2 linked regions of the Arabidopsis thaliana genome follow. The protein of the gene in region 2 interacts with the protein of the main gene of each other region in a pairwise test. Each region holds a gene or a part of one and is shown on either strand. Other genes may lie near its edges.

Region 1 (8,031 bases), on a different chromosome or scaffold from region 2:
TTAAACTAATGTAAACAAAGGAATCTTCACCAAGCACACAGCCACTTGATAAGGACTTGAGAACTTGCGTTGATCAACAAAGCCAAAGGTACCAACTTCCAAATTAAAACCATCTCAGTCTCCTTCCTCTTATATTGCAATCTTCAGAGTTTTTGGATTCAACATCTCTCCATTTCTCTCCTCTCTCTCTTACCAAGTTCAATCACAAGGAAATGGAGATCCAGGCAAAGCTCATGGAATACAGATTCCATTTCATGGTGACAATCATGGTGAGCGTGATTGTGGCGTCTCTCGTGTATGCAGCACCAAGGATTCTGAACATTTTAGCCTATTTCTGGCCTCTGTTTGCGTCAACAGCCGCCTTCTTAGCGATGGCAATCACCTTTGGTGGCTTTCAACAGCTTTCAGAAGAAGCCACCGGCGAGAGACTGATGGATTACGTCGCCGGACGGCCTGAGGATTCTCACAAGTACGACTGACAAAGATTTGCACACAAGTATATATCCATCTTTAAAAAGCTTTAACAATGTAAATGATTTGGTGTAACTTATGTCAAATAAAATGTCGAATGATTGTGTAACAAAATTTAAAATAGATAAAAAAAAACAGAGCATAAAAGCAGAGTATTAATGAAGAAAACAAAAACAAACTATAGTTGGTCAATAACTGTATTGATAAGCGAATTCGTTGACACCAATCATGGCAGAAACAACTTGAGAGACGATATAGAAGCTACCACCTAAGATGAGTAGAATGAGAATGGCGGAGATTGGGTTCTTGAGGAGCTCAAAGATGGGCTCAAAGACAGCAGAGAGAGCTCCAGTGCTAACCGTGAGAGCGTAAAGACCGTACCTTCTAACGTTGTCCCAAAACTCTTCCATTAAAGGACCTTCTGGTCCAAGCGCCATAGCTTTCTCTGCATCCATTCCCAATACCAAAACCATCATCAACCCTACAGAGACTCCACCAACCACAGCATATCTCCAGTGCCGTTCCAAACCCAGAGGAGGAGGTTGTGCTCTTTCAAGCTTGCTGTTTCTGCTACTTTTCGTAGTCAATCTTCTTCTGGCTGAGCCACACCGAACAAGACATGATGTTCTGTTCCTTATGCTTGAGCTTGGAAAAGCTAGAGCTGCTGCTATTGATCTGCTACTGGTAAAATGGAGGTGTGGTTGCAGACAAGATAGTCTCATTTTGGGGAGAGACATCATCGTCATCTCACTTCTTCCTTTCCTTGTAGGAGTCAGATTCTTTCTTATATACTAAAACATTTGGTTTAGATTGTGTGGCTCTGATTCACCTTATCTCTTTTCACAATCTGTGGATAACTTAATCGTTTTTCTATTACAAACTAATTTTGACAAGGTGTAATAAACAAGGGAATGTCAACAAATAACTCATTAGAGCTCACACATATATATATATGATACAACACTACACAAGCCTTAAAGTTGAGCAATACCCTTCTTCACAAGCATATCATAAACTCGATCCACTTTGGTTGGATCAATCTTGAAAAGGCTATATGCATCCGACTTCTTCGTTACATTCCCTTTGAATATCTCATGTGACATCACTTGTTGCATCTGTAGATAAACCGGTGGAACCAACTTGACCTCGCTGCAGAGACGCTTCTCCTGCAAAACAAAGAGCTTTCTTCTTTCAGTTACAACGACAGAAAACTCATCTCACACTGTTCAGTATCTCAGTTCTCAGACACTTACGGATTCAGACAGCAGTTGCGACTCCGTGAACCCAATCAAGTCCAAATCATTCACATAGCTTGAAGAAGCTTGCACAGGTGGTCTAGAGCCCATCTCCCCTGCAATTTGACCAAATTGACCGCTCTCTTTCCCTCTGTTCATCCCTTCTTCGTTTTCTCTCTTCCTCTTCCTTCCCAGATACCTCTCTGCTTCAGCCGTTGAACGACACCCTGCCACTTGAGCTTCCTGCTCCACCAATCCAACACAGTGAGCCACATCCAATCCAAGAAACCAAACGCACAGTTTGAGGGTAGCAATGTCCTTACCTTGAGATCTTTGAGCCGTTTCACCATGCGGTACTCGCTTACAACATTACGGAGTAGCTCGTCGTGCTCCTCTTTTGAATGAAAACGCATAAAAACGTCCAAACGTCGGCATTGTACTTTCTCCTCCTGAGACAGGTCCTTCTCAAAGGGATTTGGGTACAACAGGTTTCTTTCTATTATGAATTCTTTTCTACGTTTCCTCTCATCAAGCCTACAAACATCATACTCACCTGCGTCAGAATGGACAGCAAAAAGAAGAGACTTTGTTCCCCTTTTGATCTTAAATGTTGTACCTTTTTGAATAGATACGCAACACACGCAGCTTCAGTTCATGTTCTTCAGGAGTATCGTTCTCTTTGAACTCCATCTCCGCCAAGAGTTGCTCAGCATCATTGTCATATTCAGGGTCAAACTCTTCTCTTTTCTGGTTGTAATTACTCAGCTCAACCAAAGAGTTGTTTACCGAGGTGGAAACAGGTTTCTTCCCTCCAAAACTTCTGTCTACAAAAGACTCTAACCACAAAGAATGTCAAAACATAGAAAAAGGGAGAAAATATCTACCAGTATAAATACAATGACAAATATTGGGCCTTTTTGGATTTTAAAATTATGCTCAGTCAGCTTCTTACTTTACAAGTAGATGATTCCATTTACGCGATGGTTAACTAGATTATAACTACTGGTGTAAGCTAGAGCAAGTAAATAACAAAACGATAAGCACACCTATATACGAACCAGATATAGCATACAAAGCAAGAACTCACCTTTTTGTGTGTCTTCAACTCTGCAAGAAAATTGAACAAAAGATGAGAAAATTATAGGGTTATCACTGTACAGTACATGAGAAGAACGAGAAACATACTTGACTTTAGGAGGAGAGAACGGGTACTCTTCTTTCATGTTCTGCTCTGCTGCCAAAGAAGAAACCACTTCAAAATCAGAATTAAAATAGCAACACGTACAACGCAGAATCAAAACCATCAAGCAAAGAAGCGCATACCTTTCTTGTCATCAATGCGTCCTTTAGCCATGGCTTGAAGTTCTTTTCTGTTCTTCCCTGCTACATGTGACATATCCTGGGAAAATAAACGTTTCTCCTGAATTAGTTAATACCTTGCAAAAGGCTGGCACTACTGAGGTAGATAGGTATCTTATCAGATCGATGTAGCATACCGGAAGTGGGAAAAATGGTGAGTTCAAATAGATGTTTCTGTAGTGCTCAAGACACTGTTCTTTACTCTTCGTTCCCACGTGCTCCGCAACCTCTGCCCAGTTTCCCAAGCCATAAATTTCAAGTCCCTGAATAAAGACATTAAAAGAAATTACTTTTCACTGAAAGAATCAGACATTATAGACTTCATATCAGTACGATAAAAGAAGTAGTGGTACCTCCAGGAGAAGCATTTCATCATCCGCACTCCAGTCAGGACAAATAAGCGGGAAAGTTAGATTTCCCTAACAAAGCAAATGAAACATATATTAAGCTTTGGTAGAATTCAACCAAAAGATATTTTCGCTAAGTATAATGAATCAAACTCTTTCCAAACTAAAAGGTAAGAAAAGTAAATGAAAACTAACCATAACTCGGTATGGGTGATCACATTTGTGAGGAGTGATCTCTGCTCCAACAGACATACATTCTATACAGAGATCAAAATCTGGACAGACAGCACACTTTATCCTAATTTTTCCAGTAATGTCTTTCTGGCAATAATCGCAGTTATACTTCCCTCCTCCCTCAGCACCTGGTACTGTCTCCACAAATAAAAAATGTTGAGTAAAAGAAGAATCTTGACAGGAGAAACAAAAAAAAAAAACCTTGATAAGTATTTTTTTACCCAAAGAAGTAGACTCAAAGTTCTCCACATTAGCCGCATTTTTCTTTTTCCTCGTTCTGCAACAAACGCATAACACGATTCTTTCATGTCAGCTTCAACAGTGAAAAAACAATTACACAGATGAAAACAGAGAAGAGACTACATAGCTACTGAAAGTTTTCAAAAGCAACAAACTTTAAGCGATGCTCATTGTCCCAACTGAAAAATCAATGATTGTTGCACAAAGCAGATGCAAAGAAACTTCAAAATCAATCAATTTCAGCAGAAATTGGCACAATTACATAGATGAAGATAGAGGAGACTATAGCTACTGAAAGTTATCAAAAGCCACAAATTTGAAGCCATGCTCATTGTCCCAACTAGAGATCAATGACAATTGCACAACACAGACTCAAAGAAACTTGAAATTCAAATCAATTTCAGCACAAATTGGCAATTACAAAAGAGAAATCCACAAAAACCCCAAATCGGAAATTAGAGTAGTGAATTAGGAACAAACCTCTGAGTAGGGTCTTCGAAATTTTGGAAGTTCCCTCGAGAGCGACCCATTGATGCCCAAGTAGAAAATTGGATTATTGGGTTATGCGAAACCACAGAGAAGAAGAACCCTAGCGTAATGCCAACATGGGAGACTCACCGGAGAAGATGGAATGGGTACTTGGGGGGGTTTCGTGGAAGAAAGATCTAATCGGAATTCAACAAAACTCGGTCGAAATTTGTGAGGTTTTGGATCTCTACTAATATTATTCAGAAGTTCCGACCGAGAAGATTAAAATTAGGGAAGTCGAGGTAAAGGAAATTTCTAAGGCACTGTACTTTTTAGATTTTTTGGGATTAGACGGTCATGCTTATTACTAAAGCATATGACTTAAACTAAATTGACTCTTATAACTTCAACTTAAAAAACTATTATTTTTTATGTTAATTGTTGAATGGTGGTTGAGGGAAAAAAAAATGAAGAAAAAAAAGCTAAGATAGACCATTTTTATTGGTAATTTTTTATTATTAAAATAATAAAAATAATAAAAGGAAAAGAAAGAGAGTGTAGAATGTTTCTCGTTAAACTATGAAATACTTTATACAAACCATCATAATATTTTTCTCTTTTCAATTGGTTCGCTAAAATAAAAATTTAATCATATATAAAATTATAATAAAATACTAATATTCTTTTTGTTTGAAAAACTGTTTGGGTTTCTTCTTGATGGAGATGTCTTTAATATTTGGTTGGGTTATGGTTATTCGTTTTTAGGTATTTTGTTCATGGACATTTTCAGTAAATGAATTAGCAAGTAAATAAACTTGTATAGGAATAAATGGTTAGTGTTGTCACACACTATCGGAACAACATTATGATGTATTTTAAAATCTTATTGATGCTAATTTGAAAAATTGATTTGGAAGAAGGTTAAGCAAGGAAACAACCATATAAGATAGTTTGATGCTAATTTAAAGTTTCTTATTTTGGTCGAAAATCGAATTATTAGAAATGTTTGAACCTTTTTTATTAGACATCTAGTGATAAATTTTATAAGACTCATGTCAATCGAATAAAAATATCGAATTGTTGTTTTGCTGAACGAATAAGTTTGTCTATATTAGACGCGATTAGTTCTTCTAAACCACATTATCCAAAAAAATCGTGATTGACTACATGGTGTAATGATACCTATCATACCATCTCAAGAATATGGCATGACTCATCCAATTAACAATTGTATTTGCGCATAATTGTAAGATGTGTAAATTCCTTTTCCGCTTATTAACGGTGATTTGCGATAAGTTAATTCAGAAGACGAGTTTCGATTCTCCCATCATAATAGGTTGTACTACGAAATAATTTCCCAACATGTACACATAATCTCGACAAAAATCCAGTGATATGGGTTTACTTGTAGTTGAATAGATATTACACCACAATGACTTGTGGTTTGGTATGTAAGAAAAGGCAAAAGTATAGTTTGCAGTTAAAAAACTGAAGGAAATGATGTCCTTGGTATTAAATTACGATTAAACCCATATTCTCTCTCTCGCATAGTCTCTTCCTCTTTTCTTCTTTCTTCGTCAATTTCAGAACAAGTCACTACAGATCTGAAGTGAACCAAGCTCAGGTTTTGTCTTCTCTTTGATCATTCCTTTCTCAGCAATATAAATTAGAGTTATATCCTTTATAAAGGATTTTGCTTTTTCACCAACAAACCCTAAATTCGGTGTCTCAGCAAGAATCACGTGATTCTCGTTCCTCTTCCTCACGAAACCCATCATCTTCTATCTCATTTGTAAGCAGCGATCTCAATCCAAATACCTTTAATTTTATTTGATTCCATACCCTAATTTTTGTATATTCCATGTCAATGAACGTTTCAGGAGAAATGGGTCAAAAGTTTTGGGAGAATCAAGAAGATCGAGCGATGGTTGAATCCACCATAGGCTCTGAAGCTTGCGACTTTTTCATCTCAACAGCTTCAGCTTCCAACACTGCCTTGTCCAAGCTTGTCTCACCACCAAGTGATTCCAATCTCCAACAAGGGTTACGTCACGTTGTTGAAGGATCTGATTGGGATTATGCTCTTTTCTGGCTAGCGTCCAACGTTAATAGCTCTGATGGTTGTGTCTTGATCTGGGGAGATGGTCATTGCCGTGTCAAAAAGGGTGCTTCAGGTGAGGATTACTCTCAGCAAGATGAGATCAAAAGACGTGTGCTTCGCAAGCTTCACTTGTCGTTCGTTGGTTCAGATGAAGATCATCGTTTGGTGAAATCAGGAGCTCTTACTGATCTCGACATGTTTTATCTGGCTTCTTTGTACTTTTCCTTTAGGTGTGATACCAATAAGTACGGTCCTGCTGGAACCTATGTGTCTGGGAAGCCTCTTTGGGCTGCAGATTTGCCTAGCTGCTTGAGTTATTATAGGGTTAGGTCTTTCTTAGCTAGGTCAGCTGGTTTTCAGACTGTGTTGTCTGTACCAGTGAATTCTGGAGTTGTGGAGCTTGGTTCTTTAAGACATATTCCAGAAGATAAGAGTGTGATTGAGATGGTGAAATCAGTGTTTGGTGGGTCTGACTTTGTTCAGGCTAAAGAAGCTCCTAAAATCTTTGGTCGACAGCTGAGTCTTGGTGGAGCAAAACCTCGGTCTATGAGTATTAATTTCTCCCCGAAGACCGAGGATGACACGGGTTTCTCATTGGAATCGTATGAGGTGCAAGCGATCGGAGGCTCTAATCAAGTGTATGGTTATGAGCAAGGGAAAGATGAGACATTGTATCTAACTGACGAGCAAAAGCCGAGGAAGAGAGGGAGAAAACCAGCAAATGGAAGAGAAGAGGCTCTAAACCATGTGGAAGCGGAACGGCAGAGGAGGGAGAAGCTGAACCAGAGATTCTACGCTTTGAGAGCGGTGGTGCCTAACATCTCCAAGATGGACAAGGCTTCGCTCCTTGCAGACGCAATCACTTACATCACGGATATGCAGAAGAAAATCAGGGTGTATGAAACAGAGAAGCAGATAATGAAGAGGAGGGAGAGTAATCAGATAACTCCAGCAGAGGTTGATTATCAACAGAGGCATGATGATGCAGTTGTAAGGCTAAGCTGTCCGTTGGAAACTCATCCAGTTTCAAAGGTGATACAAACGTTGAGGGAGAATGAAGTTATGCCTCATGATTCCAACGTGGCCATCACAGAGGAGGGTGTGGTTCACACATTCACTCTCCGGCCTCAGGGTGGCTGCACCGCTGAGCAGTTGAAGGACAAGCTCCTTGCCTCTCTATCACAGTAACTATCACAGCAGTAACTGCTATGTAATAAGTGTAACCGTGTTGGAGGTTGTATCAATGTACTATTGCAAGCCAACCAAAAAAAACTCCAGCTTAGTAGGATCGTGTAATTTTCCTTATATGTAATGTTGAGATTTGTCTTTTACATATAAAGATTTGAGCAGAAAGCTTCACACTTATCTCCTATCTAAATACACAATATAGAACCGTTTTTGTTGCCTTGTCAGTCAAAAAATTTGAACACTTCCAGTTTGTCTACGGTCTACCAGTTGTTGAGCTGCGACGTAACACTTTTCACGACCGGATGGTACTGAGTATGCAAGTACTTCTTCGCCTCGTTGGAACCAGGCTCTTTAAGCCACTCCTCGAATAATCTCTTCGCCGTTGGAT
Region 2 (8,031 bases):
TGATTATTAAATCCAATATTCTTCAAATAAAAAAATCAACACGAAGAACGAGTAAAACTAATGAGTTAAAGAAAATAATTACGGTAGATTTAGCCGTTTATCCACGTTGTGTAACTCGCTTTTACTGCAAATATTCAAATAAAGTTTTATAAAAATCTCAATATTCAATAGAATTGAGTAATTAAGATATAAAATAAATAAAATTGCTACTTTAGTTGTTGTAATTTGTAAACTGAACAAAACGGCTGTATTATTTTTTCTACCGACATAAATGTCGATTCTTTGTTTTCTTTGACGTTGTTAAGCGAAATAAATATAACGGTAATTACATATGCAAACATAAATTACTTTGAGAAGGTTGCATGTCGTGGATAGTAGATTGTCATATATGATGAGTGGTTAGGTGAAGTTTTCTAATACTATATGATAAAGATTTTTTAAAAAAATAAAGTACTTGATAAATCATCTACGATGTTAGATAGCTGTTAAATGTAGAGAATTTAATAGTGAAACACGGAACTTGTGATACATATATAGAAGAGAAGTAAACAAACACTTTATGCCTTTATTTGAAATCAAATGACAAATGTGAAACAATCAAAGTAGATGAAGCGACTACCAACTATTCTTCTCTTTTTACAGTTTACATGGAACAGTTTTATTTTTCCTTAGATAATTTTTTACATGAAAGTTGAAATATTGAAGCAGAGAGAATTTTATATTGTTTTTTTAGCACAATATTTTGCATAGATTGAATCCAAAACCTCGGAAGTCTAATTGTATAGGAGTATGTATTTGTCTAGAGACAAAATATGTAACAACATTATAAATATATCTAGCTTTGCTTTGAAAATTGGATTCCGATCGGATTCCGTGATTTGTTTTCTGGTGTTTGATGTTTGACTATAACTTGAGACAACAAAAACAGTAGTTTGGCTTTGGACATAAGCTAAGTATGTATGTACCAAATGTATTACATGCGCGTTGATCTATAAGGAAAAACTCAAAAACACTTTAGTACTTTAAATTATGTCATGGAAATTAATATTTGAACTACAAAGTTTTACTTGTAATTGACTTCTTGTAACGAAGCCAAGCAAATTTCAGTAATATATTCGAAACCTAATTCATTCATTACTGCTCAAAATCAGTATTAAGTCAAACATAGCGGTTGTAATTGGTCACCCGAAAGTAATAATCACATGGGAATGCTAACGTCTAGATTATCAATAAAAAATGTCAATTACTTCCTGAACTTTTATTTCTGAAACATATTTAACGAATGTATGAAAAAACAAAGTTTGGAAGCTCTTAAAGTCTGAAAAAACAAATGTCAGTGAGCACGTGAGATTTGTCATAAAAATTGTCGATGATGAATCTGCAGAAGGATTAGGTTATGGACCGACGATAAATGTTTAGCCATTTATGCTATAAATTTTACTTCATTTTTTTTTTGGTGTGAATTTCAGAGAAGGCATACCAAACAACCTCGTAAGAACATTTAAACATATGAAATGCCATCGATTTCTTTCTAAGAAATCACATATAATTTAAATCGACGTTGTTATAATCTCTCGATTTACTCCATGTAGAAAAATTTCCTTGAGAAATGATCACATGAACAAGCACATCTTCTGCTCCCACAATATTGCTTTTTTGACACATATTTCCTTATATTTATGAATAGAACCCGTATATTTTCAGAAATGTGATACGAAAACTCTTCAATGAATTATATAGCCCAACCCATAACTTTGGGCTTTCACGTATTAATGGACCCTTCTTGCGTGCGACTCACGTGTGAATACTGCAAGACACGTGGCTTCTCTATTCAACGCGCAAATCAGTTACGTGTACAATTTATCCGCCTCCTTCGGATCCGAATCAGCTTCCTGATTTATTTCCCGTCATTACCCAAATTCGCCGGCAATGTTGTAAAAATCCCTAATCCAAAACTATTTCGTGGATTTTAGGGAAAAAAGAGAATTCGAACAAGGTCGTCGTCGTCGTCGGATTTGTAGATCATCATGGAGTTCTCTTTGATCGCAGATACAGTCACAGTTTGCACGGCTAAGCAAGGTATCGCGTTTGGGAAATCTCTTCTTCAAAGGTTGGATTTGGCCAATCACATTTCTTTCGCCGATTCCGTTGTTGATCATCAATCTCCCGGTGGAGGAATCGTTCAAGCATCGGCGATTATTTTCCCCGTCGATGCAATTGCTCCTCCACCGGTCAGATCTAGCTCTTATAAGACAATTCGCCGGATCCGTAAAAAGCGACGAACCAGGCGAGTTTCGTTTGGTGGAGATGGAGATGACGCAGGAGATTTTGGTCGTTTTCTGTTAGAAGGTGATTTCGGTGGTAGCGACGGTCCATTTGGATTTGGAGGCGGAGGAAACGATGGAGGCGGAAAGGGATGGAACTACGGCGGCGGCGGCGGTGGTTTCGGGAGGGATAATTGGGATGGGTCTTCGTTTTCGTCTTGGTCAGATCCAGCGATGGAATTTGTGTATGAAGTGATTTGCTGGATCGCGTTGTCTAATTGTGTGCACTTTGCGTTCAAGAGGATAGTGAGGATCGTGACCGACGGTGAAAGGGAGAAGTTGAACATTGCATTATCTCCGGTATGCTGACAAATTCGTGGTCGTGGTGATGATTCCTGGTTAAAAGTATTCTTAATCTCGGTTCCAATTACATCATATGATCTCTCGTGTGTATATATATTACATTGTACATATTTATTTAATTTCTCCTTCGCAAGTTCACATTAGATTTTTATAATTTGTTCTGTTTAGAGTAGTGTTTAGTCATCATTAGAGACATGAATGATGATTGATTTGTTTGATTAAGTGGATAAAAACTGAAAAGTCTCTCACATGAGTGTTTAAGACAAGCATGTAAATACCATAATCCTAATAAACTCCATCCATTACATAATGCATTGTTCATGTTTAATATTAAGCACTGGGCTTGTTGAACTCTCCCGGATTTACTGGAGAATGAAGACCCATGGATGGCTCTCTCCTCTCAACCTGCATTGTCTCACGGCGCCTATCATACCTTGGCCTAGGACGGGGTCTAGTATGACGCTGTTCCGTGAACCTGTACTGTGGTCTGGGTATGACCTTTCCTTCAACGTACAAGTCACCTGAACATGAGAGCCAAAGACAGATGGTATCAGTATTAAGAACCATATCTCAGTACCCAATCATTCAGACAAAATCTACAAACGTTACACACCTCCGTAGTCTTTGTTTGGTACATCGAGATAGGAATCCGGCAGCACCCAGAGAACACCAGGCAATGCTAATGAATCACACAACTCTAGATCAGATTTCTCAAACAGTAAAATATGTTCTCATTTTATAGTACTAGAGACAGACAATAACTGCGATAAAACAAAGATCAAGAGAAGTTTCCTCCTAGCTGTTGAACAGAGCAGTACCAAACAGAGAAAGCCTTTTACGATAAATCTCAACATCATAAGTAAACAACTAGAAAAGCTATGTCAGAGCAAAAAAGGCTTAAAAACCTAATTGCAAATATGGAGAAGTTGATACCTTTGACTTTGCAAGAGAGCTCTTCAGAGATCAAAGCACCAAAGCCAGTGTAGGTCGAAGTACAAACAGAGTAAATCTTCTTCTTGGCCTCTTCCTCACTATAGTTTAACCATTATTACCCACAAAATGCAAATCCGTCAATCCCCAAATGCACAAGAAAACATTTGAGAGTCAAAATCAAATGAAAAGGAACTTGCCAGCCAAGGACGGAAGTTAAGGTTTTGACATAAGAATTGATCATCTCTTCTTCAGTAGGTTTAGGATCAGTGAACTCCATGACGATGAGCCAGTGCTCATAATCGCACCCATCAAGAAGAATCGTCTCCTTCGGCGGACGGTTGCTCCAATTCGGCGAAGGATCATTCAGCGGCGAGTATCCGGACCCGGATGTCTTGGGTCGGGTCGAGATGTAACACGGGCCCAGGCTGGTTCGGGAAGAGGAAACCTTTTCAATTAGAGGCATGGCGAATCGAGAACGAGAAGAGAGCGTAGGAAATGAAGAAGAATATGAAGTAGAGGAAGAGAGGGTTTTGTTTAGGAGTGTCGATAATGTTCGCCGTGTGCTGATAAGAGCCATCGCCGGTGAGGGTTTCGGCTTCTGTTCTTCTTCGGTCCTTCTCTTTGCAGAAGCTTTGAGAAACTATATGGGCTTAGTGGGCCTTTGATTTATACTTTTTAGATGGGCTATTAAAAAATTTCTCTACATTAAATTCCTTAGTTTAGTAGTTAAAAGTTTCCCAACAGAAAAATACTTTAAATCTTCTTGTCAAATACTTCAACACTCCTAATTGAAACACTTTCAGTGTTAAAAAAATGTTTCAATTATCGCTTGTCAAATTGTTTGTTCATTCTTAAGTGTTTTCAGAAAGAAAATTTCGTCCTCGTTAGCTATAAAACGTATTCATTTTGTATTAGCTTTCTTAATGTGAATATGACGTCCTAAGTCAAATCACCTAATCTAAAATTTTGATTTGAGTTAGCAAAATGTCCATCAAGTTAATTCATGGATAACTTTTCCAACCTATATATGGTTAGTAATTAGTAATTATCTTTGGCTTTTTTTGGATGCATATAAAATCACAATGACGATAATAACGATGATTATCAAAATCAAAATGGTTACTGTATTTACTATTTATAAAAAAAGAAAACATAGAATTATCTCTCCAAAAATAAGAAAAGTAGATAAACATTTCTGAAATTGCTGTAAGGTCAAAAGTAAAAAGAAAATTATCCAAAAGAAAGGTTATGCGACTTTCCGTAAATGGAATTGTTGGTATGAATGCGTGTATTTGTGTTTTAGAGAGCTATTCTTGTTGATGAATCTCTGAGGAGCAGAGCGAGATAGAGGAGAGTGAAGGAACATCATGGGAAGCAGCACGGGCGATCTTGTGACACGTATCCAATCAGCTCACCGTTTCGATCACGATGCCTTGTTTCGTTTTGCCGCCGACAACGTCTCTGGCTTTCCGACCAACCCTTCCCAATTCAAAGTCTCACAGGTATGTTTTCCAATCGCCGAGGTTTTTTCTCCGGTAAGAAAGAAACTTTTATCTGACTGTGTTTTGTTTTGGTTTGGTTTACATACAGTTCGGACATGGGCAGTCGAATCCAACGTTTCTGATAGAGGTTGGCTCAGGGAGTTCCTTGAAACGATACGTTTTGAGGAAGAAGCCTCCTGGCAAGCTTCTTCAATCTGCTCATGCTGTTGATCGAGAGTTTCAGGTATCAATCAATTAATAATCTTTACCTCTGTAAAATTCATTGTAACTGTTCATACTCGATTTTTGAAGAAGATGAAATTTTGTTGTTTCTAGTACCGTTTTGAAATGCAGAATCATTGTAACTTTTTGTGATGCTGCTTATAAGAGATACGGTATCAACTAAAGGTAGATGCTTTTTTTGCTTAATACTTTGATGGTGGTTGGTTTATGTAGGTGCTTCGGGCTTTAGGTGAACATACACAGGTTCCTGTTCCTAAAGTCTTCTGCTTATGCACTGACCCTGCTGTCATTGGGACTGCTTTTTACATTATGGAGTTTATGGAAGGACGTATTTTCATTGATCCAAAGTTGCCGGTAAGATATTCTCTGTTATGTGAATGTGTATGTACGGTTTTTTTAGCTTGAGATGTGACTCATTGTAAACGAAAGGTGTAAATTTGTGTGTGTTTCATCGGTTTTGATTTAGAATGTAGCACCTGAAAGGAGAAATGCGATCTATCGTGCAACCGCCAAAGCCTTGGCATCTCTTCACTCTGCTGATGTGGATGCCATTGGTCTTGAGAAATATGGTCGGCGAGGCAATTACTGCAAAAGACAGGTTTGTTCTTTATTTGGGGCTGGTGAATTTCCAAATCACTACTCACTAGTTTGATGTTCTCTTAATGCTTATATGCTCTTGCTAAAGTTTTTTCTTTTGGATACCTCCATTTCAGATAGATAGGTGGTTCAAACAATATTTGGCTTCAACAAGTGAAGGTAAACCTGAAAGGAATCCAAAGATGTTTGAGCTTGTTGATTGGTTACGCAAAAACATCCCCGCGGAAGATTCAACTGGAGCAACATCAGGCCTTGTCCATGGAGACTTTCGCATTGACAATCTCGTTTTTCATCCTTCTGAGGTCTTAATACTTTCAAGATCTTTTGTTTTCTGATCCTTGGATAGTCTCGGAGACTTAACTGAAAATATCTTAAACTGTAGGATCGAGTTATTGGAATAATTGACTGGGAATTGTCCACGCTTGGGAACCAAATGTGTGATGTTGCATACAGCTGCATGGTAATAACCTATTCTTGTTTGTTGTATTGTACTCATAAAGCAGTTTTCTTTGCTTCCTGCTCTGATATACAGTTCATTTGTGTTGGCAGCATTACATTGTGAATGTTCAGCTCGATAAGGAGCATGTTAGTGAAGGTTTTGAAACTACTGGGCTTCCAGAAGGAATGCTTTCGATGCCAGAATTTCTCTTAGAATACTGTTCTGCATCGGTATTGTCCTGCAACAACATGTAGTCTTTAAAAGGAATCAAGTCAGGTGTTCCTTGTACATTGCCTATATTTTCTCAATTTCTGTTGTAGTGACATATTGGCAAATGAACTTTAGGGAAAACCATGGCCTGCTGCAAACTGGAAGTTCTACGTAGCGTTCTCCTTATTTCGGGCTGCTTCAATCTACACAGGGGTGTACAGTAGATGGTTAATGGTATTCCCCGGGCATATTTTTGAATTCTAAGATTCTTTATTATGCAGTTGTAGAGCCATTGACATTGTGTTGATCATGCAGGGGAATGCTTCTGCCGGTGAAAGAGCGCGAAATACAGGGGTTCAAGCTAATGAGCTTGTAGAGTCTGCCTTGGGTTATATTGCACGTGAAAATGTTCTTCCAGAACACCCTCCATCTGGTAATCGACCTCTTTGAGATTCAAGTTTGTTAAGGATAACTGTTTATTTTACATTTCTTATATATGGATGCAGTTCAAAGAGACGTGTCTCCGTCGTATGAAAGCCTTGTGGATGGAAGCGGGAGATTCATCCCCAACAGAAAAGTATTGGAGTTAAGGCAGAAGTTGATCAAGTTTATGGAAACTCATATCTACCCAATGGAAAACGAGTTCTCCAAACTTGCTCAATCAGATATGCGATGGACCGTTCACCCTCAGGAGGAAAAGTTAAAGGAAATGGCAAAGAGAGAAGGCCTATGGAACTTATTTGTTCCTGTATGCATCTTTTTCGCTACAAATCTCTTATTACTTTTACCCTGATTGAGACTGTACTTATTGATTCTTGGTTCTTGCAGGTAGATAGTGCTGCTAGAGCTAGAAGAGAACTGGCGGCTACCGAGAATAAACATAACCTCTCGGGCAAGTCTTTTGATCAATTGTTTGGTGAGGGCCTCACGAACCTGGAGTATGGTTACCTTTGTGAGATCATGGGTCGTTCTGTTTGGGCTCCACAGGTGTTTAACTGTGGTGCACCAGATACTGGAAACATGGAGGTATAAAAGCCTGATGTTGTTTACCGTTCCAAGAGTTGTCTCATTGCTTGTTACTTGTATTTATATAATCTGTACTATCTTGTAGGTGATACTGCGGTATGGTAACAAAGAACAAATTTCTGAATGGCTTATTCCGTTGCTCGAGGGAAGAATTCGTTCTGGATTTGCTATGACTGAGCCACAAGTTGCATCGTCTGATGCAACCAATATTGAATGCTCTATCCGAAGGTAAGAGATTTTCTTTATATTGATATCTACTTTCATTCGAATTCTCAACTGAACAAAAAAATGAAAACATTTGAAAGCTATATGTCATCTTCAATTTTTCTACTGGTAACTCCCAAAAAATGAGACTCAGTCCGCAATGTTCCTTATAGCTAATTCTGATGTTGATATAGACAAGGTGATTCATACGTCATTAATGGCACAAAATGGTGGACAAGTGGAGCTATGGATCCCAGGTGCAGAGTCCTTA

Evidence for each region. The genes of interacting proteins can lie anywhere in the genome.
Region 1: the proteins of MORF3 (region 2) and ADA2B interact in binary tests that used the Arabidopsis thaliana proteins (3 or more experiments, as listed by UniProt).

What each region holds. Positions count from the first base shown.
Region 1 is NC_003075.7:9,261,360-9,269,390, forward strand, and holds ADA2B (ADA2 2B), read right to left. Parts: upstream 4,799-8,031; 5' UTR 4,417-4,798; coding exon 4,367-4,416; intron 3,924-4,366; coding exon 3,868-3,923; intron 3,781-3,867; coding exon 3,608-3,780; intron 3,485-3,607; coding exon 3,419-3,484; intron 3,329-3,418; coding exon 3,203-3,328; intron 3,106-3,202; coding exon 3,030-3,105; intron 2,941-3,029; coding exon 2,892-2,940; intron 2,814-2,891; coding exon 2,794-2,813; intron 2,543-2,793; coding exon 2,323-2,542; intron 2,241-2,322; coding exon 2,030-2,240; intron 1,950-2,029; coding exon 1,725-1,949; intron 1,638-1,724; coding exon 1,446-1,637; 3' UTR 1,262-1,445; downstream 1-1,261. Other genes in the region: AT4G16400 (uncharacterized protein), read left to right, coding at 148-469, 707-743; AT4G16410 (uncharacterized protein), read right to left, coding at 660-1,217; AT4G16430 (basic helix-loop-helix (bHLH) DNA-binding superfamily protein), read left to right, coding at 6,240-7,643; NAR1 (ferredoxin hydrogenase), read right to left, coding at 7,904-8,031. UniProt on the Arabidopsis thaliana protein: Required for the function of some acidic activation domains, which activate transcription from a distant site. The exact mechanism of action is not yet known.
Region 2 is NC_003074.8:2,141,607-2,149,637, forward strand, and holds MORF3 (plastid developmental protein DAG), read right to left. Parts: upstream 4,202-8,031; 5' UTR 4,138-4,201; coding exon 3,758-4,137; coding exon of another isoform or gene 3,754-3,757; intron 3,659-3,753; coding exon 3,561-3,658; intron 3,307-3,560; coding exon 3,241-3,306; intron 3,149-3,240; coding exon 2,958-3,148; 3' UTR 2,778-2,957; downstream 1-2,777. Other genes in the region: AT3G06780 (glycine-rich protein), read left to right, coding at 2,028-2,633; IBR3 (acyl-CoA dehydrogenase-like protein), read left to right, coding at 4,928-5,062, 5,151-5,285, 5,498-5,638, 5,751-5,882, 5,998-6,183, 6,264-6,341, 6,431-6,550, 6,666-6,764 and 5 more. UniProt on the Arabidopsis thaliana protein: Involved in organellar RNA editing. Required for the processing of RNA editing sites in mitochondria.